Ovis aries: one gene and its partners. Each later gene encodes a partner of the first gene's protein in a complex. Links are inferred from orthologs where the notes say so. Each region holds a gene or a part of one and is shown in the gene's direction. Other genes may lie near its edges. The genes, in order: GNAI3, RGS2, GRM4, CASR, RGS10, TRPC5 and RGS8.

Region 1 (3,635 bases):
ATTCACCAGGCAAGAATACTGGAGTGGGTTGCCATTTCCTTCTCCAGGGGAACTTCCCGACCCAGGGTTCGAACCCAGGCCTCCCGCATTGCAGGCAGACGCTTTAACCTCTGAGCCACCAGGAGGAAGATGAGAGTTGGTTAAGTTTATAAAAGGTAGCCAGATTTTAGAATGGGAGAAAAATTTTAAGACAAGTAAAGGATTGATGTTAATGTTTCAGCTGGGAATCTTCACACACAGCAAAGAGTTGTCAATATCTTATCCATTTTTTGGTAGGGGGTGGGATGAATTTCCAAGCCTGTTTTCCATTGCTGTCATTCGTAAGAATTTTCACATCATGTTTTGGTCATCTGTCTAAATGTTTGCCTTTCCGCATTCCTCATGGGCCAGAGAAGGGGGCAACAGAGGGATAAGATGGTTGGATGGCATCACTGACTCAGTGGACATTAATTTGAGGAGATAGTGGAAGAAAGAGGAGCCTGGCACGCTGTAGTCCATGGAGTTGCAGAGAGTCAGACATGACTGAATGACTGAATGACTGAACAACAGCAGCTGCTTTAATTTACAGAAGTTCTGTACATCTCAGTAAATCTTATTCAACCACCTACCAAGCTATCTTCCTTCCTCTTTTAAAATATTGTTTAAATAATAGTCATTTTTTTCTTAAGCTTTCCTTTGTTATTTAGTCTTCTTTATATACTTGGTTGTTGATATTTTTTGGGTCATGCTTAATGTCACTGAAAATAGCCCCTAATTCTCAGGCAACTGTGTGTTGTCTTTGTTGAGTTTCCCTGGCTCTGTAGCCAATTTCTAAAGCTATTCTAAAAACTCACAAGTAAACAAGATTGTTTCGGAAGCAAGTGATTAAGAGTGTTAATTTCAAATGTTGTTGAAATAGGGTTACTTTGGATAACCCCCTCTTTGAAGAAATAACAGATTTATTGAGATCTTCACGTACCATAAAACGCACCACTTAAAAGTGTGCGATTCAAGCCCCTTCCCATTTGCATCTACTGATTACCTTTGGTTATTTAAACTATTGCTGTAAGGCTCTGAGGCTAAGCTCTGTTAAAACTGGATGATTTTGAAAAGAAGCATGAGTTACCCTTTTGAATTGTTTATTTCAACATGACCCAAGGAACACAAGTTCTCTTAACTTTTTAAGCAATTGTGTTCTTCTAGAAATGCATCCTTCTATTTCCCTAGTTTCTTTTTATACTTTCTAAATTTTTTAGCTAAAAAAGGCAAATAAAAGGGAAAAAGGAAAAAAGCTTTGTTTTCCTGGATCTTTGTGATAAGTTTACTGACAATGAGATTGTGCACTCAAGAAACATGTGATTATAGAAAAACCTAATGATTATAGAAAAATAGGAATCTTTATTTCAATTGGGTTATAGTCCCTCTCTCCATAAGTAAATGGTGATGGCCTGATTTAATTGAGTTCAGGCAGCTGTTATAATTTGAACTAAGAATATTGGGTGTCTGCCTCAGGTTCCAACACATATGAAGAAGCAGCTGCGTACATTCAGTGCCAGTTTGAAGATCTGAATAGAAGAAAAGATACCAAGGAGATCTATACCCACTTCACCTGTGCCACAGACACCAAGAATGTGCAGTTTGTTTTTGATGCTGTAACAGATGTCATCATTAAAAACAACTTAAAGGAATGTGGACTTTATTGAAGAGTGTGGATGTTAATAAAAGGTAAAACTTTGAAAGGTTTAGTTATAGTGCTGTTAGTGATGTCTCTTGACTTTGTAAACTTTTCCTAATTACAGCTGTTTTTCTTTTCTAGTTATTACGGTGTGGAGTGTTGAGACCAGACTTCCTTTGCTGCCTCATTGGGCAGCTGCAAGCATGAACGGGACCAGGGAATGGCAGCAGCATGCAGAATCCTAGCACTCTTTTAGCACAATCTTCTGTATTAGGGAACTCTTAATTGACACAAGATGCTAAAGTCAGACATTGGAATTGGAGCAACTGTAGTATGATTTGATCATCGAGACATGACTTGGATTTCATAGTCTCAAACGTTTAGGGCAGATGTGAAGTTGAGGTGCTGCATTCCAGAACTTCAATATGTAGCTTACTGTTTTTCTTCTTCCCTCTTGACAAACCACCAGTAGTTCATTTTTTCAAGTTTTTTTTTTTCATTAAGGGAAGAATAACTTCACTGAATTTTATTTTTTTGTGAAAGAACCTTTATTAAAACACAATCTTAACTATGCACATGATGTGACCAGATCATCTTGAAAATATTTCTCTTAGTAGGAACACTTTGTTTTTAACTCTAGGTATGGTCAGAATATAATATTTCCATAATAACTTAATTCTTTTCAGTTATTTGGGCTCTAATTATAGGTTTTTTGGTTGAAATTTATGTTACTATCCTGCTCAGAGTACCATTATGGTTTCTAAATGGCAGTTACATTGAAGAAGTCTATAGTAAGATTCAAGCTCTGTCTCTTTTTTTTTTAAGCTTGTGGTTGAAGGTTAACCTAGTTTATGCTTATCACCAAATTACGAGATAAATGCTGATGTAGTATGATAAAGTCAGCTTCTTGGATACAGACACACCCAGGGCAGCTGTCAATTAGAAAAGTATATTGCTAAATTCCAAACAGAACCAGTGACTTTGCTGCTGCATATCTGCTAAATTGATCACTTTGATTCTTGCTTGTTTGTCTCAGTCATAGGGAGTTCTGTAAAAGATGCCCCATGTTTTCCATCTTCCATTGGCCTTTTCTGTTGAGAAACATCTGAAGTGTATTAAAAAGTGCATGCTTTTACTTTGTAAATGTGGTGCCAAATCCCTGTTTGCCATTGTTTTTTTTACTGTAGCAATGTTGATTGTAGTAATCTTTAGTCAGTACCTTGTTTTGCTGAAACTATTGATTTGGGGACTTTTTTCTACTTTGTCGTGTGTACAGATTTTTAATCTGTTATAGTTGACAGCAGTATTAAAATGGTGAGTAAAGAGTCCAGGTTTGTTCCTGTTTGTAATTAGTCCTTTCTGGAAATATTTTCTTCTGCTGTTTTTTGCCCCTGCTGTGTGCTTAGGCCTTTGTCTGAGAATGGGTTTAGGTAGAAGGGTTCTCTGAAGGTCTTAAGTCTTTTGGTGTATAAGTATTGTTGAATCTTGGCCTGACTGAGGTTGTTATGTCATATCTGTATAAGTGATGCACAGTCAAAACCCATTTTCCAGATTTACATTTTGGTTTTGTGAAGAGCTCTTTTCACGTCAGCCTGCAGGTCCTTTTGTGCAGTGTACTGCAAATGGCATTAAATATTGAATGGTCCATTAGGGGAAGGCAGATGAAGAGAATGCAGTTTGAGCATTCCAAATCAGTAATTTGAGTAGTGCCTTTTGGGGTCCAGTCTTTTTGGATTGGATTCTATTTCATCTTTTGATGTGACCTTTCAGTAGTTTTAAAAAAAGGTTGGTGGTCATCAAAGCTGGTTCAGAAAGCAAGCCACAGCAGTTCAGTGCCTTTATTGGTAGGTTTTTTTCTTTTTGCTTTCTTGGGAAAATTACAACTCTGCAGGTGGTATAACTGTATTATCTAACAACTTTTTTTTTTTAGAATTGGCAAAACTGGATCTAAAAGAAAGAAAATTATCAGCTTCAATTGGTG
Region 2 (4,433 bases), on another chromosome or scaffold:
GTTTTCCCAGTAGTCATGTATGAATGTGAGAGTTGGACCATAAAGAAGGCTGAGCACCAAAGAATTGCTGCTTTCAAATTGTTGCACTGCAGAAGACTCTTCAGGGTCTCCCAGCAAAGCGATCAAACCCGTCAATCCTTAAGGAAATGAACCCTCAGTATTCATTGGAAGGACTGATGCTGAAGCTCCAATACTTTGGCCAGCTGATGCCAGGAGCAGACTGACTGGGAAAGACTCTGATGCTGGGAAAGATTGAGGGCAGGAGAAGAGGGTGGCAGAGAATGAGATGGTTAGATGGCATCACAGACTCAAGGGACATGAGTTTGAGCAAACACCAGGAGATGAAGAACAGGGAAGCCTGGCAAGTTGCAGCCCATGCGACTGCAGTCAGAAATGACTTAGGGACAGAACAAAAGCCTTGCTGTTAATCTGCCTACTTAGATGCTTCAGGAAAAACCACCTGAATATTCCACTGTACAATTCTAATAACGGTATTTGAACTCAAGTCATTTTGGAGTGGCAGTTATCTACTTACCCTTACCAATCAAACCACTTAAATCCTGCTACAGCAAGATGATTTCTGACGAATCAAGACATTAAGCTTATTCAAAGAAGCTGTAAACGCCTCCCTCCCTCCACCCCCATCTCTCTTTTTTTGCCAATTAAAGTGTTCTGGCAAATTCTAAGCCAACTAAGAGTGACTCAGGAGGAAATCCTGCATGCTTGCTCTTTTACACTAAAATGATTCTGGTGCACGATAGCTGCGAGCTCGTGGTGTTTCCTTGTTAAGAGCTGTGATTTCTTTTTTTGTTCTGGAAGGAGAAGCAGCCAAGGACTCCTGAGAAATAAGTCTGCAACCCCACGGACCGACCCAGCCACGAACCTGCTGGTAATCAAAACCGCACACCCAGTTAAAGCACTTTCTCCTCTTCCCTCCCTGACCAATGTGCATTCCCCACAGAGCTCCAGGATGCTTGGGCACGCTGCAGAACAGATCACACCACTGCCCCTGGACTCTCACTGTTCCTCCCATTCTGTTTCCTTCCCCAAATTAAAAGGCGTCTCAAAGAACAGGTGAGGGTCAGTTCTCACATCAAGAAAGGAGGCGCGGAGCGAGGGCTTGCGCTCCAAAAACACATCCCCTTTTAAACCTAATTCAAAATAAGGTTACTGCATTCGGCTTCCCAATAAACAACCTTTACCTGCTTGGAATCACGGCTCCTTTGGGGGTCAGGAGCTCTGGAGCGCGGGGGAGGGAATGAGACAGGGAAGAGGCGGGGAGCGAGCGCCCCCGCCGTGCCTGCAGCCAACCTGGCTCCCTGCCCGCCACGGCCCTGCGACCCCACGGCCGGCCGCCACGACTGGGCAAAGGTCGCCTTTGACCGTTCAAAAGGGAATTTTCTCTGACCCCACACGAGGGCGGGCGTCCGGCCCGACTGCGCACGACGCCCGGGAAGCGGACGTCAGCGGGCCCCGGGTTTCCAGACCCTTCGGCGGCGCCCGTGACCGCGCGGCCCGCGGCCGCCGTCGGCCAATCGGTGCCCGCCGGGGGAGGGACCGGCGCCGTGAGCCCCGCCTTCGCCCTGCCTCCAATTATATAAATACGGGTGCCGGCGGTCCGGTCTCCCCAGAGCGGCGTTCCCAGGTGGAGGGAGATAATGCAAAGTGCTATGTTCCTGGCTGTCCAGCACGACTGCGGACCCATGGACAAAGGCGCTGGCACCGGCCCCAAGAACGAGGAGAAGCGAGAGAAGATGAAGCGAACCCTGTGAGTGCGGCTTTCTTCCTCCCTGACTGGCCGCCCCTGCGGACCCAGCTGTCCCGGGCGGCTGCAAACGCGGTACACTCGCGCTGGGCATGGGAACTGGGTAGCCTGCCTGCATCTCTGCAGGAAAAAAAGAAAAAGAAAAAATGTGTGTGTGTGTGTAAAAGGTTAATTTGTGAAGTTACGTTTAAACCTGTGTGGTGTAGGTATTTATTGAAGGACTCGGGTAGAGTTTAGAAACTGCAGAAAATTCTTGATGCAGGGGCGGAGATAGATGCTGGTTGGCTTTTTGTCTCCCTGCATCGAAAATGACTTCGGAGAATCCTGCAGCCACGCGCCCCCGGCCTTCTTGAGAGGCACCGTAAATTCTGATCTGCTTACACGACTGCTGGGATGGAGATATTTTTGCTGATCCTAGATATACTTTTAATTTTTTTTAATTGAACAGCAAGTCTCACCCACTCAAGAGTGTGGAACAAATAATTGTTCTGCATCACCTTCTTAAAATGAGTGCTGAAGTTGGGGGAGGGGGCGGTCAATCTCGCACACACACTTCATTGTGCACAGCTTCTCGGGTGGTCCCAAGCCCCCTGCTCTGAGAGCAGAAGGAAAACGAGCCTGGGCTGGCTCAGGGCAGGTCCACTGTGGGCTTCCTCAAGTGTGAAATGTCTCAGAATTGTAATTAACCGTTGCAGAAAAACTGGCTGCCTTTTGTGGGCCAGAAATAGCATCTGCCTTTGAACTATGCAAACTAAATTCATTAAAATACCCTATAATTGTAGGTCGTCCTATCCTTACTTATAAAACTAATAATTATGTTCAGATGAGTGGATGAAACTAGTGTGTTGAGTACTTAGATGCTGGATTAAAGGAGTAAGACTGACTGGAGGAGTTGTTTTGTCTTATTTGGCTTGTCTATAGCTACTGGGGGCGACTTTATTTGGTAAAAATGCCTTCAGCTGCAATGGCAGTTTCAAGTGTTGCTGCTAAGTGAGTATCTTTTTTTTTTTTCTTTTGTAGATTAAAAGATTGGAAGAGCCGTTTGAGCTACTTCTTGCAAAATTCCTCCTCTCCTGGGAAGCCCAAAACTGGCAAGAAAAGCAAACAGCAAACCTTCATCAAGTAAGTTGAAAATCTTGTGCTTGCCAATATGCACAGCTCACTGCTGAGCTGAAGAGGGAACCTCTGGCTAGCAGGAGCTGATGTGCAGACTTCTTTTGCAGGCCTTCTCCCGAGGAAGCCCAGCTATGGTCAGAAGCATTTGATGAGCTGCTAGCCAGTAAATGTAAGTTAACCTCTTGAATTGGATCCATTTCAAGTATCAGGAGAGTATGGTTTGGTTGTGTCTACACAGCAAGAGCAGCTTGCCCAAGGAGAGTTTGACTTTACAATCCCTGTTCCATGGGGCCTATTTTTCTCCTTTATTTCCCGGTGATTAACCAGGGAAATGCGTGGCTTTTTCACTCTAGGTGGGGAGTGGGGGGAAATAGCCCCAGATTGTAATGGCAGTTGCTGTCTCTTAAGGTTGAGTCAGCTTTTCCATTGCAAACAATGTTTTCAAGCGGCTTCATTCCCAAAGAACTTATGGCTCCCCTATCAGTTGTGTTAACAGCAAAGCTAAGTTTATATTTTTGTAGTAGTGTGCCAACTCACGCATTTTGCTGACTGGCATCTTAGTCTTTAAAGAGCTAAATTTTGACAATTACAGGTTTGAGTAAACTCAAGAAAATTGCTGCCATCTGGCAATAATAAAATATGGGACCAGGGGAGTGGGATTTCTAGGAAAACACATAAGGGAATATTTGAACACTCAATGCAGTTTCTGCATGCTTTCTTCCTTCCCTCCCCCAGATGGTCTTGCTGCATTCAGGGCTTTTTTAAAATCTGAATACTGTGAAGAAAATATTGAATTCTGGCTGGCCTGTGAAGACTTCAAAAAAACCAAGTCACCCCAAAAGCTGTCCTCAAAAGCAAAGAAAATATATACTGACTTCATAGAAAAAGAAGCTCCAAAAGAGGTAAAGGGGGAAAAAGTTCCTTATTTCAGCATATTTTGAACATCCTCAGCACCAAAGTGAAAATAATTTAAAGAGACCTCAAGTTAAAGGGGGGTGGGTGAGTAGGCTGTTTTTCCCCTATTTCTGGCTCTCAGTGAGGTTAATTATATTTCTTCACTGACTTAGCCGGTGACACTGGCCACACATTATAGTTTGGGGGTTTTTTTGTTTGTTTTCAAATACTACATATATTTCAACTTCTGACTCTTAATGTGGAATAAAACTTTGTTGTTTTCTTTCAGATCAACATAGACTTTCAAACCAAAACTCTGATTGCCCAAAACATACAGGAAGCTACCAGTGGCTGCTTCACAACTGCCCAGAAAAGGGTGTACAGCTTGATGGAAAACAACTCTTACCCGCGTTTCTTGGAGTCAGAATTCTACCAGGACTTGTGTAAAAAGCCGCAGATCACCACAGAACCCCATGCCACATGAGATGAAAGCAGGAGCCCAGAAACGGAGGACTTTTCATTTTTTTTCCTAAAAGGGGAAAGGCTGTCACCTGCCAAAAAGACTGACCTTGAATTCAGCCTGGGTGTTCAGGAAACATCACTCAGAACTATTGATTCAGAGCTGGGTAGTGAATCAGGAAGCTGGTCGCCTCGTAGG
Region 3 (3,635 bases), on another chromosome or scaffold:
GGCCTCCGGACTGCATCTTACTCCAGCCCATCCATTTTACAGATGTTGAAACTGAGGACTCCCTGGGGGACAAGCGTGGCCTCCAGCAGGGCAGCAGTGGAACTGCAGGCTGGTCCGGGACTCCTGTTCTTTCTTGTTGGAATTGCCTAGAACCGGCCTTGGCAGCCAGCACCCCACAGCACCCCTCACTCCCCAGAGCTACCTGGGAGAGGCCTCAGATAACTCTCATGGAGGTGTGAGTGCTCTTGAGGGGTCCGCACAGGTGTAGCTGCCCCTCGCCTGTATTTTGACAGATCTTCAGCCCTCCCCAGAGCGCTGACCCCCAGCCCTAGGTCACTGGGTCCTGGCTTCCTGCCGGCCTCCCCAGGCGCTCTCGGTGTGACAGGTGCTGGATCTGAGCCCTCACCCGCCTTGAGTGGGGAGTCACCTGGTCCCTCTGGGAGACTGCTTCACCTGCAGAAGGCTGCTGAGGAGAATTACGAGCCCTCCTCTTGGCCTCTGAGGAGTTAATGGAGGGGGCAGCATTTGGATGAGGGGCGAGATGTGAGGTGAGCGTCCAGAAGGCGCTTGCTGGAGAAGCCCAGGAGCCAAGGCTGGATCCTGGGGGGCGGTCTCCCATGCTTCCCTGCCCTTTCCAGAGCCCTGGGAGCCTCTGGTGGGGATGGTGGCTCTGAGCCCCAACTTGGTCTTCACGGAGGGACCACGTCTCCAGAGAAGCCTCCCAACCCAAACACAGGCTCTTTCACACGGGTGGGGAGACCGAGGTACAGATCAGGCAAGCGGCTGCTGGTCTTCATTTGACGGATGCACAGGGAAGGGGGCCTTGAGGTCGCCCCCCACCCCGGACCCCGCCCTGACTCAGCTTTCAGCCTTTCTCCCCGAGGCCTCCCAAGTCGAGGGGAGGGAAGTTGCTGGCACCGAGGGAAGGCTGGGCCCTGGGAAGGAAGCCCTGGGGAAATTAGCCCAGATTAGCAATGAGAATGAGGAAGAGCTGGTGTTCTCTCCTCTCCCCTCGCAGATAAATATTTAATCACAACAACAATAATAATGACGGTCATCGTAATAATGTGCACTAGCTCAGGCCAGAACCTGAGCCTGCTCTTAGAGGGAGGAAGTGGTGAAGAGAAATGGAGAGGTATAAAGACCCCTGGGGTGGGCGGGGGGCCCAGCAAGAGAAAAAGAGCCTCCGCTGCGTTGACCCTCTGGTGGGGTAGCAGGGCGCCTGGGGCAGAAATGGAGGGTCCACCCCCCCCAGCTCCACCAGCCCCAGCTTCTCTTGGCCTTCAGACTAAGCGGCTCTCAGCCTGACTTCTTCTGAGGCCCTGCTTTCTTTCCTCATTTCCGAGTCCTCAAGGAGCCTGTGTGTCTGGTTCCAGAACTGGGGGCCGGGCATTGGGTTTCAGGCAGTGTTCTGCTGTTCGCCCCCTGTGTAACTTGGGCCAAGTGCTCTCCTGCTTCGGGCCTCAGTGTTCCCATCTCTGAAATGGGTTGTGTCCAGCGGGGCCGGTTTTTGCGTGCTTGCTCCTTCCTGTGGGTTCCTGTTGAGAGGAGACCCCTCTTCTTCCTAGGTCTCCGGGGGTCCCCTGGGGGTATATTCTCTGAGGCCTCTGGTCTGGCGGCAGTGGGCACCAGGAACCTTCAGACATGACCCAGTTTCTGCCTTAAGTTCTCTCATCTGCACCAAAGTCGAGCGGCAGTGGAGAGGAAGCCAAGTTCAGGAGGTCTGTGGTGTCTTTGCCCACAACCTCCAGCATCTCCTGCTCCCAGGCTCCTGATGAAAGATGCGAATAGCTAATGTCTTCTCTGGCTTCTCTGATTCTCTCTCTCTCTTTCTCAGGTTGGTAAGAGGAGAGCTCTGGAGCTGTTTTCTCCCTGATGCCAAGATCTGCCCAGCTAGGAGCACTCTCCACCTTTCACGGTCATCCACTGAGAAGAGGCCTGCAGGAAGTGGGGACCAAGATCAGAGCTTTGCTGCACCCCAGCTACTCCCTGCTGTCCGAGTGCAGCCTGTCCCACAACTGAGCGTCGCCGGGGGCCGAGGTACACCAGCACGGTTCTGCCCGTTGGCCGCCCTCAGCCACCCTGCTGCTGAAGCTGCCCTGGAGAGACCAGTGGGGGCCGCTGTGCCCATGCTCGTCCAGGCCGTGGGGCCTGGGGCCCGCCAAGGCTAGGAGCGAGGCCTGCCATTCATGGGTCTCTAGGGATTTCCGAGATGCCTGGGAAGAGGGGCTGGGGCTGGTGGTGGGCCCAGCTGCCCCTTTGCCTGCTCCTCAGCCTTTCCGGGCCCTGGGTGCCCTCCTCCCTGGGGAAGCCCAAAGGCCACCCTCACATGAATTCCATCCGCATAGACGGGGACATCACTCTGGGAGGCCTGTTCCCAGTGCACGGCCGGGGCTCGGAGGGCAAGGCCTGTGGAGAACTCAAGAAGGAGAAGGGCATCCACCGGCTGGAGGCCATGCTGTTTGCTCTGGACCGCATCAACAATGACCCGGACCTGCTGCCCAACATCACGCTGGGCGCCCGCATTCTGGACACCTGCTCCAGGGACACCCATGCCCTGGAGCAGTCGCTGACCTTTGTGCAGGCGCTCATCGAGAAGGACGGCACGGAGGTCCGCTGTGGCAGTGGTGGCCCGCCCATCATCACCAAACCTGAGCGCGTGGTGGGCGTCATTGGTGCTTCCGGGAGTTCCGTCTCCATCATGGTGGCCAACATCCTTCGCCTCTTCAAGGTTAGTGCCTGCCCAGCTCCTTTCTCCTCTTCTCCTCCTGAATCCCAGGGAGAGAGTGTGTTGCTCCCCAATACCCACATTGGTGTGTGAGAATCTGGGGCTGACTTGCCTGTGGTCTGAGAGAAGGTCCCAGCTCAGTGGAGCTGGCCGTGGTGCTGAAACAGCACCTGCTGCAGGCAGCCTTTTGATCAGCTCTGCTCCTCTGCGGGGAATTCTGAACCAGGAGGGAAAGGAAGTGCTGCTGAACAACAGGAGGGAGGAGGAGACAGGCGGACAGAGGTATAAAAAAAGCCCCAGACAGATGGATGGACAGAAATATAGGTAGATAGAAAGGTACACAGGTTAAAAGATAGACATAGACTGGAAGTGTGAATGTTGGAGATTGCCAGGGAGAAAAAGCAAGACTTTTGTTTTGACATTGTTTTCCAATAATTGCAATTCCCAAGAAAGATCTGTTTTTTTCCTCTGGGTAGTTGAGAAAGCCCCGTGTGGCCCTCCCGCTCCACCTCAGGATTATAGTTAGAAAATGTGTCCTGGTTTTTTGCAGGAGGCATTAGCTCTCAGCCCACAGTGACTGGAGCTGCGGACAAGAAAGGCCTGGAGGAACGGGTGGTCCCATCTCTGGTGCCCTGGGTCCCCAACGGAGCTTCCCCGGCTCATTCCTTTCCTTCTGCCCCTCTTCCTTGCACACCTTTCTCCCTTCTGGAGTCCCTCCCTGCCCCCTCTCTGCCGCCCCCCTTCCTCTCTTCCAGGGGCAGGAGCTGCTGATTTGCAATTCAATTGGAGCCAAGTGCTTCGCTAAGCTGCTAAAACAACTGAAAGCTACCGGGTAGAGAGAAAAACATTACAAGCATTTTACCAATAATTATATGCCCGCTCCTCTCTGGGAGCCTCCTCATTTGCT
Region 4 (3,635 bases), about 100 Mb from region 1:
CTCTGAATATGGGCAAGCGAAGTTTTCTGTATCTTACAAGAATTGCCATAAACATGAGCCTCTAAGCCATGCCCTCCCCACCTGCCTCTCTAAATGGAAATACTGAGCCATTTCTGTTGCAGTCATCCTAACATGGGGTTGAGGCTTAGTTGAATTCATTTTTCCTCTCTCTTTTTTAGAAAGTACTACGCACGGTCTCTGCATGATGTGACTTCTGAAGACTCAAGAGCCACCCACCTCACTAGTCTGCAATGGAGAAGGCAGAAATGGAAATTCAAACACCACGGTTCCATTCTATTAATTCTGTAGACATGTGCCCCCACTGCAGGGAGTGAGTCGCACCAAGGGGAAAAGTCCTCAGGGGGCCCCAGACCACCGGCACTCGTGTCCCTCTCCCTGGAGAGAAAGCAGAACTATGGCACTTTATAGCTGCTGTTGGATCCTCTTGGCTTTTTCTACCTGGTGCACTTCCGCCTATGGGCCTGACCAGCGAGCCCAGAAGAAAGGGGACATTATCCTCGGGGGGCTCTTTCCTATTCATTTTGGGGTTGCAGCGAAAGATCAGGATCTAAAGTCGAGGCCGGAGTCCGTGGAGTGTATCAGGTAAAGTCAGAAGTTGCTTCTCCTCTGGGTGGTTAGAGAAAAGCTGTACCAAACCCAAAATAATTTTTTCAAAGTTGGTTCTCTTTTCAAAAATGGTGATTAGTCATCATGCTGATGCTTATTATCCCCTCCCCTCATTTTTTTAAAAGAAATTTTTCCAAAAATCAAATGTCAAAGATATTAAATAGAAAAACCCATTGGCTGTTGGAGCCTGTGCTCAGTCACTGGGTAACTGAGTCATCACTGTTCACCTGGAGGCAGTGTTGCTTAATGGAAGATTAAGTACCTAGAAAGAAATTTATTGTAGGTTTTTGCAAACCTGAGTAGTAAAACCTCCCATTGACCTTAAGTGCCCCCAGTGGTCATAATTGAGTGTTGGCTGCCTCACTCTGATTTTTTTAAGGATTTTAAAGTTGAAAGAAGCTTTAGTGACTGGCATGACCCAGGCATCTTCAAAATGCAGCCCATAGCATTTGGAACCACTCCTATCAGAAAGTTTTATAGAAAGCTGAAATCCTCCTGCTGACACAGAATCCATCTAACTCCTGCATGGACTCTATCTGCAGCCACTAGAAGACAGCTAACATGCCCTCTTGAATCATTTCTTTTCCAGACCTACCAGTCTCGGTTTTCTAAATAATTATTTCATGGCATGATTTTCAGACCCTCACCACTCTGGTTGCCCTGTGTCTAATGTTCCCTAATTTATCATGACTCCTCTTCTGGCATCTAACACTGGGCACAATTCCTTCAAATAGTGTCTGACTTCTCCAGAGGACAGTAGGCTGTATATCACCACCCTTAATCTGAACATCAGAGACCGTTACTACACCTCAAGCCTTGACCCGTCTTCTGAGAGAGAAGAGCACTTTCTCTTGAAACTTACAACTTCCAGATGGGATCCAGCACTTCTCCTTTGTCTTTCTGATAGATAGAAAATGAAAACGAAAAATATAATTGTTCCAGCAAAACTGGTTTTCTGCTCATGTTCTAAGGAGGGTTCACAAATTAGATAACATTCTCACATTTTTTTAATGAGTGCAGAAAAGCTAAGTGCAGAGTTTTGACGATGCTGCTTATAACCTTCACATAATCCATGAGGACATATATCCTCTCTGTTGTACCCTACAGGACAGAGTTGTGCAGGCACCACATACATAGCTGAGATCACATAAGAGCTTGCCCTGAAGTAATACGTATATATTAATTGTATTAAAGAAAGATTGGAGAAGGAAATGGCAACCCACACCAGTATTCTTGCCTGGAAAATTCCATGGACAGAGGTCCATGGGGCAGCAAAGAATCACACATTACTGAGCAACAGAGCACACATGTGCACAGACACACACACACTCACACACAAAGATAGGAAAATCAGTTGAGCAGTATAGATGTTTTGTGTAATGAAAAATTCTATAATATGTCTTCATAACTTTCCAGGTTTAAAAATAAACAAATGAAGGATATATGAACAAATATTACTAAGAGAAAATGTCACATTAAAAGTTAGACCAGGAACTTTGGGAAGCTAACTGATACAGTGAAGTATAACAACTTATATTTCTTTCCCCCTGCCCCTGAGTTCAAGTCATGAAACCCACAATACAAAGAGAGAACCTGCAAAATTGTTAGGTTTTCTTCTCTGGGCGCTGATACAGACCTAGAACACTTACCAAGTTCTCACTATGTGCTGTGTCCTGGGAGGGCAAAAGCTATGTCACAGACCCTGTTTCTCTTTGTTCATTTGCCTGATTTTTATTTAAAATAATGTTCTTTGAAAAGCAGTGCATGCTCATTTTTAAAAATACAAAGTATGAAAGAGACCAGAAAAAGCACACAATGTTAAAACTCATCATTCTACCACCCAGAAGTGACCACTGTTTGTGAACAGCTTCCTACGCATAGTATTTGTTTGTTTGCTTGTTTGTTTATGAAGATGAGATCACTCATTTCTCTTTCCCCTTCAGCCTCCAGAAATGTCATAGTTCAAATTTGTGACTGCAAATCTGAAACTAGTTTTAGGTTCCTATGAGTTAAAATCCTAACCTATTTATATTTTCCCTGATCCTTTTTTTTAAATCTCTGTAGTACTGTTATTGAAATACTTCATATCAGGTACTTCAGATTCTTTACTGGATGATGCATAAAAAGTGATTCATTCTATTACCACAATCCTTGTTATTATTGATCTCTAACTTTGTGTGAGGCACCACACTGAGAATTTTGTGTCGTTATCTCATATTCACAGCCTCCCTCTGAGGTAGGTGTTATCCCTGTTTTACAGAGAGGACTTTGAGTCTCAGAAAAGGCAATGTCATGAAATTAGAGTTACAGAGCCAGGTTCAAACCCAGCTTTGCCCGGTTTGTACTCTAAAAAAGTTGACCAGAAAGCCTCTTGCTTTCTTCCATTTCTTCTTTCTTCCAGGTATAATTTCCGAGGATTTCGCTGGTTACAAGCTATGATATTTGCCATAGAGGAAATAAACAGCAGTCCAGCCCTTCTTCCCAACATGACCCTGGGATACAGGATATTCGACACTTGTAACACCGTCTCTAAAGCCTTGGAGGCCACCCTGAGTTTTGTGGCGCAGAATAAAATCGACTCTTTGAACCTTGATGAGTTCTGCAACTGCTCAGAGCACATCCCCTCTACCATCGCAGTGGTGGGAGCTACTGGCTCAGGCATCTCCACAGCAGTGGCCAACCTGCTGGGGCTCTTCTACATCCCCCAGGTACCCATGCTGCCTTAGATGGGGCAATGAGGGCAGGAATCAGGAGCAGCAGGCTTGGAGGATGCCACACCCAGTGTTGATACAGTTTGCTGTTCTATTTTCCTTTCTCTGGCTTTACTTTGGCACCAAAGATCTTTTAATTATCTGTATTATGACCACTGGGGATTTCTGAGACCCCACCAATGTCTACTAGACCTTCACAATTCTTCCAAAATTCTTTCAAACATAAAACTTTTTTCTTTAACTTTAGTGCTTATGGCCATTCTTCTGCCCTTCCTAAAAGGATGTAAGACCAAATGC
Region 5 (4,214 bases), on another chromosome or scaffold:
CCATAGAAGGCCAGAGACAGGGTGGGATTGGGACCGAACCGGTGGGTGGAGGGAGGGAGGAAAAATAAGCGGAATGGGAAGCTGAGAACAGAAGATATAAAAGAAAGTGCCAACTAGTGAAAATCTTGAGAAAGGATGGTTGGAGGGGGGACCGACGACTGGGCAGCAGTTGAGAAAAATAGCAATTAGTACTGCTAAAAATAAAGACCAATTTAGAGACAAAGCCAGATACACAGGAGGAAAATAGGACTGCCAGAAAGACAATTCCTCGTAAACCAGATCCTCAAGAAAGTGAGGCTAATGATACCCCTTCTCGGGATGTTTTGCAGAAGAAATGAGACGATAGATTTGAGTGGAGCTGGCCACGCAGAGCAGGTGACCGGCGGCGGGAAAGGAGGAATCAGAAGCAGGGCTCAGTGTGGCCCGAGTGATTTCCAGGGTTGATCGCTAAGGCCCTGCCGACAGGTGCACCACGTGAGCGGCGCCCCAAGTTAGGGTCTCCCGCCAGCCGGCGTGACGGGCAGAGGCATCGCTCAGCGCTGAGACCGGAGGGGGTCCTACGGAATTCTCCCGAGGTCGGCCCTTGGAGCCTCAAGACCAAGGGCAGGAGGCGCCCAAATTTCGGTGCCCGCGCAGCGCGGCCCGGGAGAGGGCGCCCACCCGCGCGGGCTCGGCTCGCTTCGCCCGCGGACATCGCGGCCCGGGGCCAGGCGACGCTCCCGCTGGCTTTCGCGGCCGTGGGAGGGCCCAACTCCCATGGTGTCGGGTAGGCCGGGGAGCGCAGGAATCCTGGAACCCGAGGGCAAGAGGGCGAAGGCCGTGGGTTGCACCTGGGCTTTGCAGAACCACGAGATCTCGGCTTTCCGGTCTCGGAACCAGGAGGTGACCCTCACCTGCCGCCCAGCAAAAGCGCGCGGAATCACCAGGCGCAGGGCGCCGGAGGATCTGCGCCCGTTTCTCGGGGCTGCAGGAAAACGGCTGGAGGCCGGGACGGGCGCTGGAGCTGGGAGCCGGGCAGGGCTGGGCGGGGCTCGGGCGGCATCCCTGGAGAACCCCGCCAGGCGGCGAGGGATCCCCGGGACGCGCGAACCGCCAGGGCAAGGCTCCTAAGTCTCGGGCAGCGCGGGCCACTTCCGAGCGAGTGCGCGCCTTCTTGGGCTCTTGGCCGGGCTCTTGGACTCCCGGCGTTTGGGAGTCACCCGGGTGCGCCCTGCCCGCCCAGGCACCCCGGGGCGGGACCACGGGGGCCCCACGGGGGCGGGCCGGTAGGGCGCACTGATCGCGCCACGCGGCGCTTGGCCCGGCGGAGGGCGGCAGGGTGGGGGCTGCGCGCTCCGGGGCGGTGCTGAGCCAGCTCCTCCTCCTCCTCTGGCCTCCTCCTCCTCGCCTTCCTCCGGCTCAGCCGCCGCGCAGCCCGGCTGCTCCTCCTTCCTCCCCGGGGTGCTCGCGGCGATGTTTAACCGCGCTGTGAGTCGACTGAGCAGGAAGCGGCCGCCGTCAGGTAAGCGGTTTCCAGGGCTCCGCGGGCTGGGGATTGGGGAGCCCCCAGGGGCCAGGATGAGCCGACCGGGCCGGTGCTGCCTGCCCCACCCCCCGGGCATCCTTCCCTCCTGCCCGGGGTCGGGCGCGGCTCAGCGATGCCCCGGGCAGGACGCGCCACTTCTCCCTGCTCTGTCCAGCGTCCCCGCGGTCCCAGCCGCGGCGGGAGCGCTGAGTCCCGAGACGCGCGCTGGGGAGGAAGTTTGTCTGAAAGGAGGAACATCAGCCGTTTTCTTTTTAGTGATGGTCTGGGAGAAAAAGGAGATCCAAAACACCTCCAGACTTTGGAGGTAGTATGGGCTCTAGATTCCGAAAGCAGAACCGAGTTCTGGAGGTCTCCGCCTCCGCTGCGGGTGTTGGTGCGCAGCGCGGAGCCCGCGGAAGGAACCCCAGGACCCGGGGGATCCGACTGGGCGGCCTGGCCTGGGTTGCTGGGCGTCTTCGGTTCTGCGCCGAGGAGCCGAAATGTAGGGCGGAGAAGGACGGTGAATACCAGGTGAAGGGCGCATCTGCAGCTCGCGCCAGGAAACAACAGACGTTACAAAGGATTCAGTTTGGCCGTCACTCTGGACCAGCCTGTCACTCTGGACCAACCACAGTTCGGAGCGATTCGATAGGACGAAGAGCTCGTGGTGAAGATGAAACCATCCCTTGATTCCAACCATCTCACCCTTTTTGTTCCTTGCAGCTCAGCCCCTTTTAGCGCTCCAAGTGGGACCCAGTACGTGTTCTGTGAATTCTCTCTTCACCCTTAGGGCAACCCACTGAGATAGGCATTGTCCTCAGCCCTCGCCACCAGGGAGCTGTTAGGTAACTTGCTCCAAGTCACACTTAGGTGGTGGAGAATCTTTCAAACGCAGCTCAGCCTGACTCTGGAGTTCAGAGGCTTTTCTGCCACCTCCCACTCCAAGAGTCGCTTCTGCTGGTACCAAGAGAGTCTGTACATGTTGGCCCCTATCTTTTTTTCACCTCGTGTCTTATTTTATGAGACTGTGGTTAAGAGGATGAGTTGAAAGCAGATCGACTGAGTCCAAGTCCCCCCTCCACTACTAGGCACACTGCTGCTGCTGCTAAGTCGCTTCAGTCGTGTCCAACTCTGTGAGACCCCAGAGACGGCAGCCCACCAGGCACCCCCGTCCCTGGGATTCCCCAGGCAAGAACACTGGAGTGGGTTGCCATTTCCTTCTCCAATGCGTACATGCATGTTAAGTCGCTTCATTTGTGTCTGACTCTATGCGATCCCGTGGACAGCAGCCCACCAGGCTCCTCTGTCCACGGGATTCTCCAGGCAAGAATTATCGGAGTGGGTTGCCATTTCCTTCTCCAACTGGGGGCACTATCTCTGTTCAGACAAGGATCTGCATAATGGCAATAAAATACCGCTCCTTAAACGCTGAATTGAAACTGCTTTCCCTTCCATCATATTTTGCAAATTATTCCCTCTAATATTGAGAACAACTCAAAGTAGGACTCCACAGAGTTACTGTAAATTGCTTATATTAGTGTTAGTATTAGGGGTCATGTAAACCTTTCTGTGTTGCCTGTGAGTCAAAGGATTTCCCTGTTGGGTGTTTGCTTTGAAAGTGATAGTCACTCAGTTGTGTCCGACTTTGCGACCCCATAGACTGTAGCCCACCAGGCTTCTCTGTGCATAGAATTCTCCAGGCAAGAATGCTGGACTGGGTAGTCATTTTTTTTCTCCAAGGGATCTTCCCGACCCAGGGATCAAACCCAGGTCTCCTGCATTGCAAGCAGATTCTTTACTGTCTGAACTGTTCGAGTTAGCCATTCCCTATTGTTGGATGTTCACAGGCCGAAGGAGTGGTGGTCAGAGCTTGGACTCGGAAGTTACTTACACCCCTGGTTCCTACCCTGACCCTAGCATTCAGCTGCCTTGAGCAAGTTACTTGACCTCAGAGCCCATTGCTAAATGGGAAATTTGGAACCTGGTTGCTAAACCATAGGTAGCTCGAAATTGGCTATTAGTGGCCATTTCCACCATGGAAATCAGCAAATGTTAAAAATCACGTTTTCTTTTTAAATCTTTTTATTCTAGGAAAGCTGGTTTACCAGCATACTTATGTGTCCATTTTCCCATCTGTACAGTGGGTTTCATAGAATTGTGGAACCAAACATACAAAAGCATATATATAATATAATATTATATATATGTATATATGTATATATATATATATATATATATATATATATATATATATATGAAGTCTCCAGTACAGTGCCTGGCATAACTGAGTATAATGGTTAGCTGTTACCTTTTCCCCCTTTTTCCTATCATAAATAGAGCTGCTTTGAACATCCCTGCACAGGTCGCTTTTGGGGTGAGGTCTTCCAAATAGAACAAATGAATTATGGATCACACATAGTTTTAGGGTGCTATTGCATATGTGCAGATTGTACCCCGGAAAGACTAGGGCAGTTTTAGGAATACCAGTGAAGTGTACCTCTTTCAGAGTAACACATTTTAAGGCTGATGAAATGTGGTTGGATCACTGATAGAAAGATCAATAGCTAAAAATCGTGGACTGGTGTTAAGTGTCTGGCTTCCAGGAGCCTGATTTCTTTATGATTTTTAGGTTTAACGTCCGTCTCTGGATAGGAAAGGACAAACGAGCCTCTGCAAGTTTGGTCATTACCACCCAGCAGTGAGAAAGGGG
Region 6 (4,098 bases), on another chromosome or scaffold:
CAGGACAAGGGGGCAAAGAAAGACTCTGCCAGCCAGGCGTTCTGAGGTGCTCCAGTCCAGTCCCCTCTACCGAAAACCACCACGCTCAGCCACCCAGACTCTGCCACCACCCAGGGGAGGGGAGGCCCGGGGAAGAGCAAACGAAGGAAACAGAAAATTCCGTACCGAGGGGGGAGAGATGAGACGGTGGGACAGGGCAGCGCCGGGGCTGCCTTGGGGTTTCGGCTGCGGCTTCCTTCCACCCCTGGCTACCGAGTTGCAGAGAAGCAGGAGCTGCTGCCCCTGCAGGCTGCCCCATCCTCCCTCTCCCTCCTTCCCTCCCCCCTGCCCGCTTCCCCCGCCCCGCCCCGCCCGCCCCTGCCTTGAGCTCAGACTGTGTGAGGCTCCAGGTCCGGACTGGGGGAGGTGAGAGGTGCTTTCACCAACAGCGGCAGTCTCCCCCACCCCACCCCACACCCCCGCCCCCAATCGCGACGGGTTCTTCCAGCTTGCAGCCACCCAAAGGAGAGGAAAAAGAAAAGGAGCAGAGGAAAGCCAGGAGCAGATAGAAGCGAAAAGGAAGAGCTCAGGGTTGGACATTTTTGGAGCTGGGGTGGGGAGGAGAACAGGAGCGCGCCTCCTCGATTTTACCTCCCCACCCCTCTTTGCTTCTCTCTCTCCCCCTTCGTTGTATAGCATTTTTCAGAAGCGGCAGCAGAAGGGGACAGAAACCTCTAGTCTAGAAAGATTCGGAAGGGTGACCGGGGCTCCCGCCAGCCAGTACCTAGCAGCTGGCGCAGGAGTATGCGTTTGTGCATGTCAGAGTGCGAATGCTGGTCTCTGTCTCTTCCTATGTCTTTTCTGTCTCCTTCATACTCCCGCGTCAGCTATCTCTGTCAGTTTCCCGTGTCAGTTTCTTCCCGTGCTCTCACTGTGCAGTACGCTGCGTGAAGGGGGTGCGTGTGTTTGAAGGCACCCAGGTTGGGTCAGCGAGCCGGGAGAAGCTAGCGGGGACAAGGCAGGGGCACGAGTAGAGCAAAGAGTTTCGGGGTGCTGACGAAGGCGAAAGGTGAGCAGAGATGGCCAGCCACTGGGAAGTTTGGGAATGACTGAAAAGCGAAGGGAGAAACCACGCTAGGAGCGGGCACTTGCGCGCCTCGCCACACCCCGCCCCTTTCCCTGTGCTCATCCGCCCACCCGCCAGGCAGCCTCGAGGCCAGGCTGGGCTGTCCCAGGCGGCTGCTGTTGGCGCGCCGAGGGAGAACCGGTAAGGTGGCCGCACCGAGCTCCTTGGCTTCCAGACGCCAGACGACGGGGATCTGAACAAACCACTTGGTCTGGGGTAAGTCAACAGGCAGCCCAGAGCCTTATGGCTTTGCTGCCGGAGCGCTGCCAAAAGGCAGCGAGGTGCGGGATTGAATGAAGGTGCAGGGATGCTGAGGGCTGGGAGGTGCTAGCTGGCTGTGGGCTGGGGTGGTGGGGGGCAGAGCGAAGCCAGCAACAGATTGTTTTCGGACACAGGGAGAAAGATATGGTGGGACTCTAGAGGTGTTAGGACAAGGTGGCTCTTGACAGTGACCAAAAACGTTGTGTTTATTTGGGATGTTCCTCTAAATCAGCTTGTCTCTACCCCGGACAGTGATCTGAGATCAGTATCGACCCGAGAGACAGGAATGGAATAAAGACACTGGCCCTTTTGCCAAAAGCCACTTTAAGATGTGGAAAGCCAGGGGTGAGCTCATGAGGGCTCAGGAATCAGAGCCCCCATTCACCTTCTTTCTGTTTTGTATCCATCAAACTTACTTACGAAATGGCCAGATTCATTTTCCTGGCTCCTTAAAGGAATCAGGAAATACAAATGGGGAGACATCAGTCAGATCTCTGCTCAAAGTAGACACCCCTCCCCCCAAACACACACTGACTTGGACAAACAGTCATGATGGTCCCCCTCTTCAACACACACATAGGTACTGAGCTGTATTCACAGATCCTGATCTTTCTCCATGGTCTCTAAGAATGAAACTGGGAGAAGGGCTTTCTCCCCTTTGCCAACCTGGGGTCTTCTGGCCATAATCAGGTATGTGGTTGGTGATGGCTACCAAGGTTATTACTCCCTTGTGAAAAGCCTGGTGCTAGGAAACCAGTTGGGAAGACAGGATTTCTGAACTTTACCTGAGTTTATCATATGAGTAGAAGAGACAGGCTAATCAATAATGCACCCCTTAAAGACTGTGTGTGTCAGCCCTGGCTTCAAATGAGAAATATTTACTCCACTGACATGGCACTCAGATCCACTTGTCTATTTCTATACATTTATTTTCATGGCATTTAGCAGATATGTAAAGTTTACATCTTAGAATTCGTCCTTGTCTATTGTCAGTCTCAGGGTTTTGTGTTTTTTGGTTTTTTTTTTGGTGTTTTACAGATGTTGGTGTTTGGGATTATATCATGTTTCTTTTCCTATAGACTCTTAAAAAGCTGTGATATAAATGATGTTAAATGGTACCTTTCACCCAGTCTTTAACATTTGCTTATTCTAAATCAAAGACATGGAAATACATTCACACAGTACCAAGTTGGTCTCAAAGCAAATGTTTAGCCTAGGATAAAGAAAACCCACAAGGTTTCTCTATTTGCAAGGTTGAAGGAAAACCTGAATGCCACATGAAATCTGTTTGGTTCCTGGAAGATGCTGTTTTCACGAAGTTCTGGCATAGATAGATAGATAGATAGATAGAGTGTGTGTGGCGCTGCTTTCATAAAGTTGTAATACATATGGTATGTGTGTATTTTTTCAAGGACTCAGATCAACCCCATACAATCTGGGCTGTATGCTGCTGTAGCCGAGGGGGGAGTATTTGAATTTGTGCTTCCAAAGCATCCAGGCTCTTCTGTTAAACTGTCTATTTATCATTATGTTACTGGAATACAATGAATTACCCCTTTCCAACTCAGCAAATGAGAGAAACAGATTTTGCATTAAGTGGAACTGTTTATGTTGCGTCAGGCAATTTGTTCTAATGCTCACTGCTGAGAAAGAGAACAGAACAAGGATTATTCAAGTAGGATCTGAAAAGGTGCCCATTCTGTTACTTTTTTAGGCCATCATAAGCAAATATCTTCATAGGTTAAAATTACACTTTCCCATAAATAGCAAAGACCAGGTTGCAGACAGGTAGGAAAGAATCAGCAGCTTCCTGGTAGGGAAAGAATTGAAAGTGTCAACAGGAATGACACCGAAGGTGTGGGTCTCTCTTGGTTGAAAATCTGGTTGCTGCAGTGGATCCTGATCCATGGTTCCTCAGGGCATAAGGAGGTGTAAAGCGTGGGGATCCAGAACCAGGCAGTCTTCAGCTGTATTGACAGACATTCCCCTAGCTATAGTGTATACACCAATATAGAGACCTGGACCAGATAACATTTGCCATTTCTACCAGGATTGAGAACTATATTCCTACAATTCTATTCTTTCTAGAATTAACAACCAGAACGAGAATGACACACAGAACCACAGTGCTTAGAGAAGGCCAGGCCAGAAAATGACAGATGCAGTGGGGATGAAGAGGAAAAGGATAGGACAGAACCCAAAGATGTTTTGAAACACGGAAAGAAAACCATCCAGATGTTTGCTTTCTTTTGCTTTGGCAGGGGATGGGGTTAGTCCAAAACACTGCTTAGGAAGTGAAGCACCCTAACATTGCCTAGCCTATGGTTTACCTTGTAAACACTGTAAAACAGAATTACATAGAACCTGAGAACGGGAGCCCCGGAGTAAATTTACACTTTTACCGTCTCATTCCACTCATTAGCATATTAAATTCCAATCTATGAGCCATTCAGGTGCTTAATTATTGAATGGATAATTTCAAACATGTCATTCTATTGCCCTCCAGTCTGCTTCCAAATATTTTAAGTTGTCTTGACCATGGCTCCATCACTGAAACAGAGGGACAAAAACATTTCTGTCTGCTTTACTTCTGCCAAAGCTTCTTGTTTTCAGCTAAGTACACAAAACCATTCAGAAGCTTTCTGGGAGCTGGTGGGGAATATGAGGGACAGGACCTTTCTCCCCAAAGTGCCCTCCCTGTGCCTTGAGATGCCACTAACCTAATCTGCCCT
Region 7 (4,064 bases), on another chromosome or scaffold:
GGCGCTGGTCAGGGCGTGTGGACGCCGGCCTGAAGGAAAGGAACTAGCTTGTAGTGGGAGGACGGGTCCCTGGAAACCTGTCGCAGTTCTTGGCCCCTGCATCCCCCTCCCTGCCCTCCGGAGAAGGTCCTCATCTGAGATCTCTCTCCGTTCATTAGCTGTGCTCATCGAGTCTCCCCAGCTGCACTTCCTCTGGTCTTTTCTGGCTTTGCTGTTTATTTATTTGTTCCCCGTCAGCCTCTTTCTCTGGCTCTGCTTGTAAACAGAGCCGATGACTGTCAGCTCCAGGGCCTATGTGGTGAACCTGGTGCCCCCAAGTGGGGGCAGCAGGTCTCATAGACTCTAGAATCCGATGCCAACGGTTATTTATCCCTGACCCTCAGAAGCTGCTCCAGGCACTGGCCCAAGCTGTCCACAAAGTTTTTCTCCTGATCATCCAAATGGAACTTTACAGACAGAAGCATCACATGACATGTTCTCTCTGTCCCCTCCTAGCCCTCTCTCTTGGTCCTTGTTCTTGCCACCATACCCCCATCACAGGTTGGGCAGCTGACCGGGGGGCACCCAGGCTGGCCTGTGGTGTGGAGTGGCAAATAACACGAAACGTTTCATGCATTACACTCTTCCCTGGCTGATTTTTAATCCTCATTAAGAAAGTTAGAACTGGGCTTCCTCTACCTTGCCCAGCCATCCCAAAGCCAGAGTATCCTTGCTGGTTGGCTATGGCAGGAGAGAGCTCTTTGAGGCTGAGCCTTTGTCTTTTGCATCCATCCCGGTCTGTTTTTGAGGCGAGGCAGGTTCTCCTCTCTCTCCTGAGGCCAGTTACCCTGTTTCACCCCCTTCCCTGCTGTGCAACCCTGGGGGACCACCTCTGCCTCCACTTCCACCCTCAGACCCCTGGGGGCTCTGCTTCTCCCTGCCTTCTGCAGCGCACTGGCCCCTCGGAGGCAGCTGCCAGTGAGCTCGCTGTCAGCAGGAGAGCCTCATAGGCAGTGCCATTCTGCTCGAGTCTGCGGTCCTCCCCCGACTCTGCGTGGCAGCGCGCATCATCTGTCAGAGTGCCCCCTCCCCTCCCTCCGCTTCCCCACCCCCTTCCCCTGGCGCTTGCCGCCTTCCCGGTTCATGAGATGCAAAGCCCGTCAGGCGGGTGAGGAGCCAGCAGGAGCCGCATGTTACAGCCGCCCTGCTAGGGGTACCCCCCCAACTCGCGGAGGTGAGGTGAGCCGCCCCTCGGCAGCCCTCTCCCATGTACCAGGAAGTGGATGACTCGGTCACTCTGGGCTTCACTGAGCCATGCCCAGCTGGTACCGGCGCCAGCCAAACCTTCCCAGCTGCACTGCCCTTCACCAGACAGGTAAGAGAGAGCTGCTGTTCCAGCCGGGCGAGAGGGTCCCCGAACTGGCCCTCCCCAGCCGGCCATCCTGAGCCATGAGTCTTGCTGGGAAGTGCAGGGCACTCCAGTGCAGAAAAGGCGCTGTCTGCCTGTCATAACCCTACCATCCCATTTTCTAACAGAGCTCCTTAGACAGACTGGGTTAAGCCAGTCACTCTTGCCAGGAGCAAGGGTGCAGGAACATGCCCATTCTTCCTGGTCAGTGGGTGCTAAGCTGCCAATATCCTGTTTTTGTTCTTTCTCCTCCCCTGAAACCTCCTTTCTGGTCCAAGGGGACGCAGTATCTCCCCGCAGATCCCTTCGGGGGCTCTGTGATTATGGTAGATTGCTGCCTGGACCGTGACACTGTTTCTGTTCGTTTCATTCATGTCTTTGCTGTTGTGTTCGGCGGATCGCCGGCACAGCAGTCTGGCTGCCCACAGCATCTGTTCTGTTTCCAGACAGCGTGCAGGTCCCCTGTGCTGCTGGTGACTAATGCTGGTGACACATTCTGATGCAGGAGAACTCACGATCACAGTGGGTTCAAGGGAGATCAAAGTACATCGGAGGTCACTGATTTTTTTGCGTTTTCAGCTTTATTGAGATGTAGTGACAGATAACATTGTAATATGTTTAAAGTGCCCAATGGGATGATTTGATACATGTATGCATTCTGAAAGGACTCCCACCATCGAGTTAATTAACACATCCGCTGGCAGGTCACCAACTTCTAGTTTCAAATATTTTCCCACATTTTTATTATTGCATATAATGTTGGAAGAATATCATAGAGTTTTGTTCACATTCCGGATTGTTTTCTTAGACATAGTCTTAAAATGAGACTTTCTGGGATGGTCTTTTTTTTTTTTTAACTGATACAAGTGACATCTAACATCGTTTTGGTTTCAGGTTACAGTGTAATAATCTGATATATGCATGTATTATGCAAAGATCACTGCAGTTAAGTCCAGTTAACTTCCATCACCACACGTAGCTGCAATTGTTTTTTTTAGGAGAGGGCAGGTCACCAATTTCTAAGCAGTGAGTTGAGGACAGAGTAAACGTCTATAGGAGGTGTTTTCTTGGCATCAGCTTCTCAGAGCTGTCTAGGGGGGCGTGGAGGAGAGCGGCTTTTCTCTGTGCTAGAGTCATTCCATCTCAGCCTATTGTTTCACTCCACACTTAAAACCTGGCTGAAGGTCCTTATAGGTGTTTATCTTGGGATGCTTTCAAACTAATGAAATAGGAAGGAAAGCCTACCCCTTCCTGCAACTTGGGTTATTTTTGGATTATTTGTTCCCACAGTTTTGGAAAACTCCAGGTGTTTTGGGGAAGATGCAGGAGGTGCTGGAAAGTGGGGGAGTGAGATTACCGTTATCGAGAGAGTATCTACGTGCTTGGGGGAAAGTTCAAAGCTCTAACTGGCAATGTGTTATTATGCTGATGATGGCTTTTACTTTTAGTTTGGGAATGGTATCCCTGTGAGCACTCAGTCAGTCTGGCAAACTGTTTTTATTAACCATTTGCTCTTTGCTCAGTCCTTAAAATAGGTGTCCTAGTAGAAGATTGATGGGAGAGGGGTGAATGGGGATTGGAGAGTGTTGGGTGACCCCTAGTCCACCGTGGCCTGGCCGAGGTAAGCTGCTCCTGGAGACCCTGTTATTTTGGCATTAAAATTTTTTCTCACACAGTGCTTTATGCACAAAGGAATCTTAAAACTTTCTCATGTTCTTTGTCCATTTGAATTAGACTTTCGCTTGAAGCCAAGGTCTTTCTCCTATGGATCAGTGAGCTTCAACCACAAGAGTCATTTCACAAATGCCAGGGACTCCCAAGGGATTGAGTAAGAGGTAGATGGTTGGCTGCACAAGATCCATCATATTACCATTTAAAAAATCCTCCAAATGTGGGTCTCAGGGATGAGTCAGCAGTAGCAGCAGTACTGAATGTGATGCAATGTTGTATAGAGTGGAAAAAGCCCTGGGGGTCCTGGGTTCGAGTCTCCCTAGGGTCATTAATTGAATTACCCTGTGCCCTTCACTCAGGGATCCTGTACAGCTTTGTTTTTATCATCTGTAAAATGGGTACAATAACAAGGGCCCAACTTACCTCCAAAAGTTTTTATGAGAATCAACTAAAAAATGATGATAGCTGCTGGTTATCAAGATGTGCTGGGCAACTTTACTAGGTATTTTCCTTACATGATGCTGTTTAATCCTTCCAACTTCCCTAAAACTTAGTCTCCAGGAGCTTAAGAAACCTGATCAGCTAAAGAAGTGAAAGCAATTTTTAGGTTTTGGCAGTGCCATACAAATATAAGTTTTGTTGTGTATCACGACTTCATGGCTTAGGATATTTATCCTGCTAATCCTTTCCTAGGCTCTCCCGTCCCATATGCTTGCTCATTTCATTTCTGTCCAAATACTTACAGCTCCAGAGCCACTAGAAACGCTCCTTGCTTTTCCTGTCTTGAAAATTAGAATACCTTTCACTGTTCAAGAAGCATCAACATTCTCACCAGAACCTTTATCAGGACCTTTATTCTCTGTTTGGAATTTCCAAAAAGCTTTTGAATCCTTCAATAAAAGGTCCTAAAAAGAAGAGGGTCTCAGAAAAGCTGAATGGCTTAAGGTAGATTCCTACCAGGGCCTTGTCTCTCAAGGAAAAGTGTCAGAATTTGCTCAGCATCTTT

The links.
Region 2: the proteins of GNAI3 (region 1) and RGS2 are in contact, whole or in part, in a crystal structure (PDB 2V4Z), measured with the Homo sapiens proteins. The link is inferred for Ovis aries from reciprocal best matches to the Homo sapiens genes GNAI3 and RGS2. Residues at the interface, in NP_006487.1 of Homo sapiens: Val179, Lys180, Thr181, Thr182, Gly183, Ile184, Val185, Gln204, Ser206, Glu207, Lys209, Lys210, His213, Ala235, Glu236, Asp237, Glu238; in NP_002914.1 of Homo sapiens: Glu104, Phe105, Glu108, Asn109, Glu143, Ala144, Pro145, Glu147, Ile148, Asn149, Asp151, Phe152, Leu180, Asn183, Ser185, Arg188.
Region 3: the proteins of GNAI3 (region 1) and GRM4 are in contact, whole or in part, in a cryo-EM structure (PDB 8JD6), measured with the Homo sapiens proteins. The link is inferred for Ovis aries from reciprocal best matches to the Homo sapiens genes GNAI3 and GRM4. Residues at the interface, in NP_006487.1 of Homo sapiens: Ala31, Lys32, Val34, Lys192, Asp193, Leu194, Thr219, Phe336, Thr340, Ile343, Ile344, Asn347, Leu348, Cys351, Gly352, Leu353, Tyr354; in NP_000832.1 of Homo sapiens: Pro616, Lys619, Ala620, Gly622, Arg623, Glu624, Arg676, Ile677, Ile680, Phe681, Gln683, Gly684, Lys685, Arg686, Ser687, Val688, Ser689, Ala690, Ile694, Ser695, Pro696, Phe781.
Region 4: the proteins of GNAI3 (region 1) and CASR are in contact, whole or in part, in a cryo-EM structure (PDB 8SZH), measured with the Homo sapiens proteins. The link is inferred for Ovis aries from reciprocal best matches to the Homo sapiens genes GNAI3 and CASR. Residues at the interface, in NP_006487.1 of Homo sapiens: Ala31, Lys32, Gln304, Glu308, Lys314, Asp315, Thr316, Lys317, Glu318, Ile319, Tyr320, Thr321, Phe334, Asp337, Ala338, Thr340, Asp341, Ile343, Ile344, Lys345, Asn347, Leu348, Glu350, Cys351, Gly352, Leu353, Tyr354; in NP_000379.3 of Homo sapiens: Lys644, Ala645, Asn647, Arg701, Val702, Val705, Phe706, Ala708, Lys709, Pro711, Thr712, Arg716, Trp719, Phe801, Ile869, Val872, Arg873, Thr876, Ala877, Ala880, Phe881, Lys882, Val883, Ala884, Ala885, Arg886.
Region 5: the proteins of GNAI3 (region 1) and RGS10 are in contact, whole or in part, in a crystal structure (PDB 2IHB), measured with the Homo sapiens proteins. The link is inferred for Ovis aries from reciprocal best matches to the Homo sapiens genes GNAI3 and RGS10. Residues at the interface, in NP_006487.1 of Homo sapiens: Val71, Val72, Ser75, Glu115, Val179, Lys180, Thr181, Thr182, Gly183, Ile184, Val185, Gln204, Ser206, Glu207, Lys209, Lys210, His213, Ala235, Glu236; in NP_001005339.1 of Homo sapiens: Glu62, Phe63, Ser64, Glu66, Asn67, Ala102, Ser103, Ser104, Gln105, Val106, Asn107, Val108, Glu109, Gly110, Leu137, Lys139, Tyr140, Asp141, Ser142, Arg145.
Region 6: the proteins of GNAI3 (region 1) and TRPC5 are in contact, whole or in part, in a cryo-EM structure (PDB 8GVX), measured with the Homo sapiens proteins. The link is inferred for Ovis aries from reciprocal best matches to the Homo sapiens genes GNAI3 and TRPC5. Residues at the interface, in NP_006487.1 of Homo sapiens: Arg205, Arg208, Lys209, Trp211, Ile212, His213, Phe215, Glu216, Glu245, Leu249, Ser252, Asn256, Lys257, Trp258, Arg312; in NP_036603.1 of Homo sapiens: Thr27, Glu32, Glu33, Glu56, Ile57, Tyr58, Tyr59, Asn60, Lys125, Pro128, Thr129, Leu130, Met131.
Region 7: the proteins of GNAI3 (region 1) and RGS8 are in contact, whole or in part, in a crystal structure (PDB 2ODE), measured with the Homo sapiens proteins. The link is inferred for Ovis aries from reciprocal best matches to the Homo sapiens genes GNAI3 and RGS8. Residues at the interface, in NP_006487.1 of Homo sapiens: Glu65, Gln68, Ser75, Val179, Lys180, Thr181, Thr182, Gly183, Ile184, Val185, Gln204, Ser206, Glu207, Lys209, Lys210, His213, Ala235, Glu236, Asp237, Glu238; in NP_001095920.1 of Homo sapiens: Thr76, Glu77, Phe78, Ser79, Glu81, Asn82, Ala117, Pro118, Glu120, Val121, Asn122, Ile123, Asp124, Phe125, Gln126, Arg128, Leu153, Lys156, Asp157, Ser158, Arg161, Arg164.

What each region holds. Positions count from the first base shown.
Region 1 is NC_056054.1:86,826,945-86,830,579, forward strand, and holds part of GNAI3 (guanine nucleotide-binding protein G(i) subunit alpha-3), read left to right. Parts: intron 1-1,491; coding exon 1,492-1,682; 3' UTR 1,683-1,704; intron 1,705-1,795; 3' UTR 1,796-3,635. UniProt on the Homo sapiens protein: Heterotrimeric guanine nucleotide-binding proteins (G proteins) function as transducers downstream of G protein-coupled receptors (GPCRs) in numerous signaling cascades.
Region 2 is NC_056065.1:11,623,245-11,627,677, reverse strand, and holds the start of RGS2 (regulator of G-protein signaling 2), read left to right. Parts: upstream 1-1,629; 5' UTR 1,630-1,658; coding exon 1,659-1,768; intron 1,769-2,785; coding exon 2,786-2,887; intron 2,888-2,988; coding exon 2,989-3,050; intron 3,051-3,616; coding exon 3,617-3,783; intron 3,784-4,064; coding exon 4,065-4,259; 3' UTR 4,260-4,433. UniProt on the Homo sapiens protein: Regulates G protein-coupled receptor signaling cascades. Inhibits signal transduction by increasing the GTPase activity of G protein alpha subunits, thereby driving them into their inactive GDP-bound form.
Region 3 is NC_056073.1:8,389,644-8,393,278, reverse strand, and holds part of GRM4 (metabotropic glutamate receptor 4), read left to right. Parts: intron 1-1,837; 5' UTR 1,838-2,212; coding exon 2,213-2,731; intron 2,732-3,635.
Region 4 is NC_056054.1:187,548,710-187,552,344, forward strand, and holds part of CASR (extracellular calcium-sensing receptor), read left to right. Parts: intron 1-179; 5' UTR 180-415; coding exon 416-603; intron 604-3,028; coding exon 3,029-3,335; intron 3,336-3,635. UniProt on the Homo sapiens protein: G-protein-coupled receptor that senses changes in the extracellular concentration of calcium ions and plays a key role in maintaining calcium homeostasis.
Region 5 is NC_056075.1:39,197,934-39,202,147, reverse strand, and holds the start of RGS10 (regulator of G-protein signaling 10), read left to right. Parts: upstream 1-1,373; 5' UTR 1,374-1,452; coding exon of another isoform or gene 1,453-1,501; intron 1,502-4,214. UniProt on the Homo sapiens protein: Regulates G protein-coupled receptor signaling cascades, including signaling downstream of the muscarinic acetylcholine receptor CHRM2.
Region 6 is NC_056080.1:122,884,269-122,888,366, forward strand, and holds the start of TRPC5 (short transient receptor potential channel 5), read left to right. Parts: upstream 1-1,191; 5' UTR 1,192-1,321; intron 1,322-4,098. UniProt on the Homo sapiens protein: Forms a receptor-activated non-selective calcium permeant cation channel. Mediates calcium-dependent phosphatidylserine externalization and apoptosis in neurons via its association with PLSCR1.
Region 7 is NC_056065.1:63,188,902-63,192,965, reverse strand, and holds the start of RGS8 (regulator of G-protein signaling 8), read left to right. Parts: upstream 1-1,129; 5' UTR 1,130-1,354; intron 1,355-4,064. UniProt on the Homo sapiens protein: Regulates G protein-coupled receptor signaling cascades, including signaling via muscarinic acetylcholine receptor CHRM2 and dopamine receptor DRD2.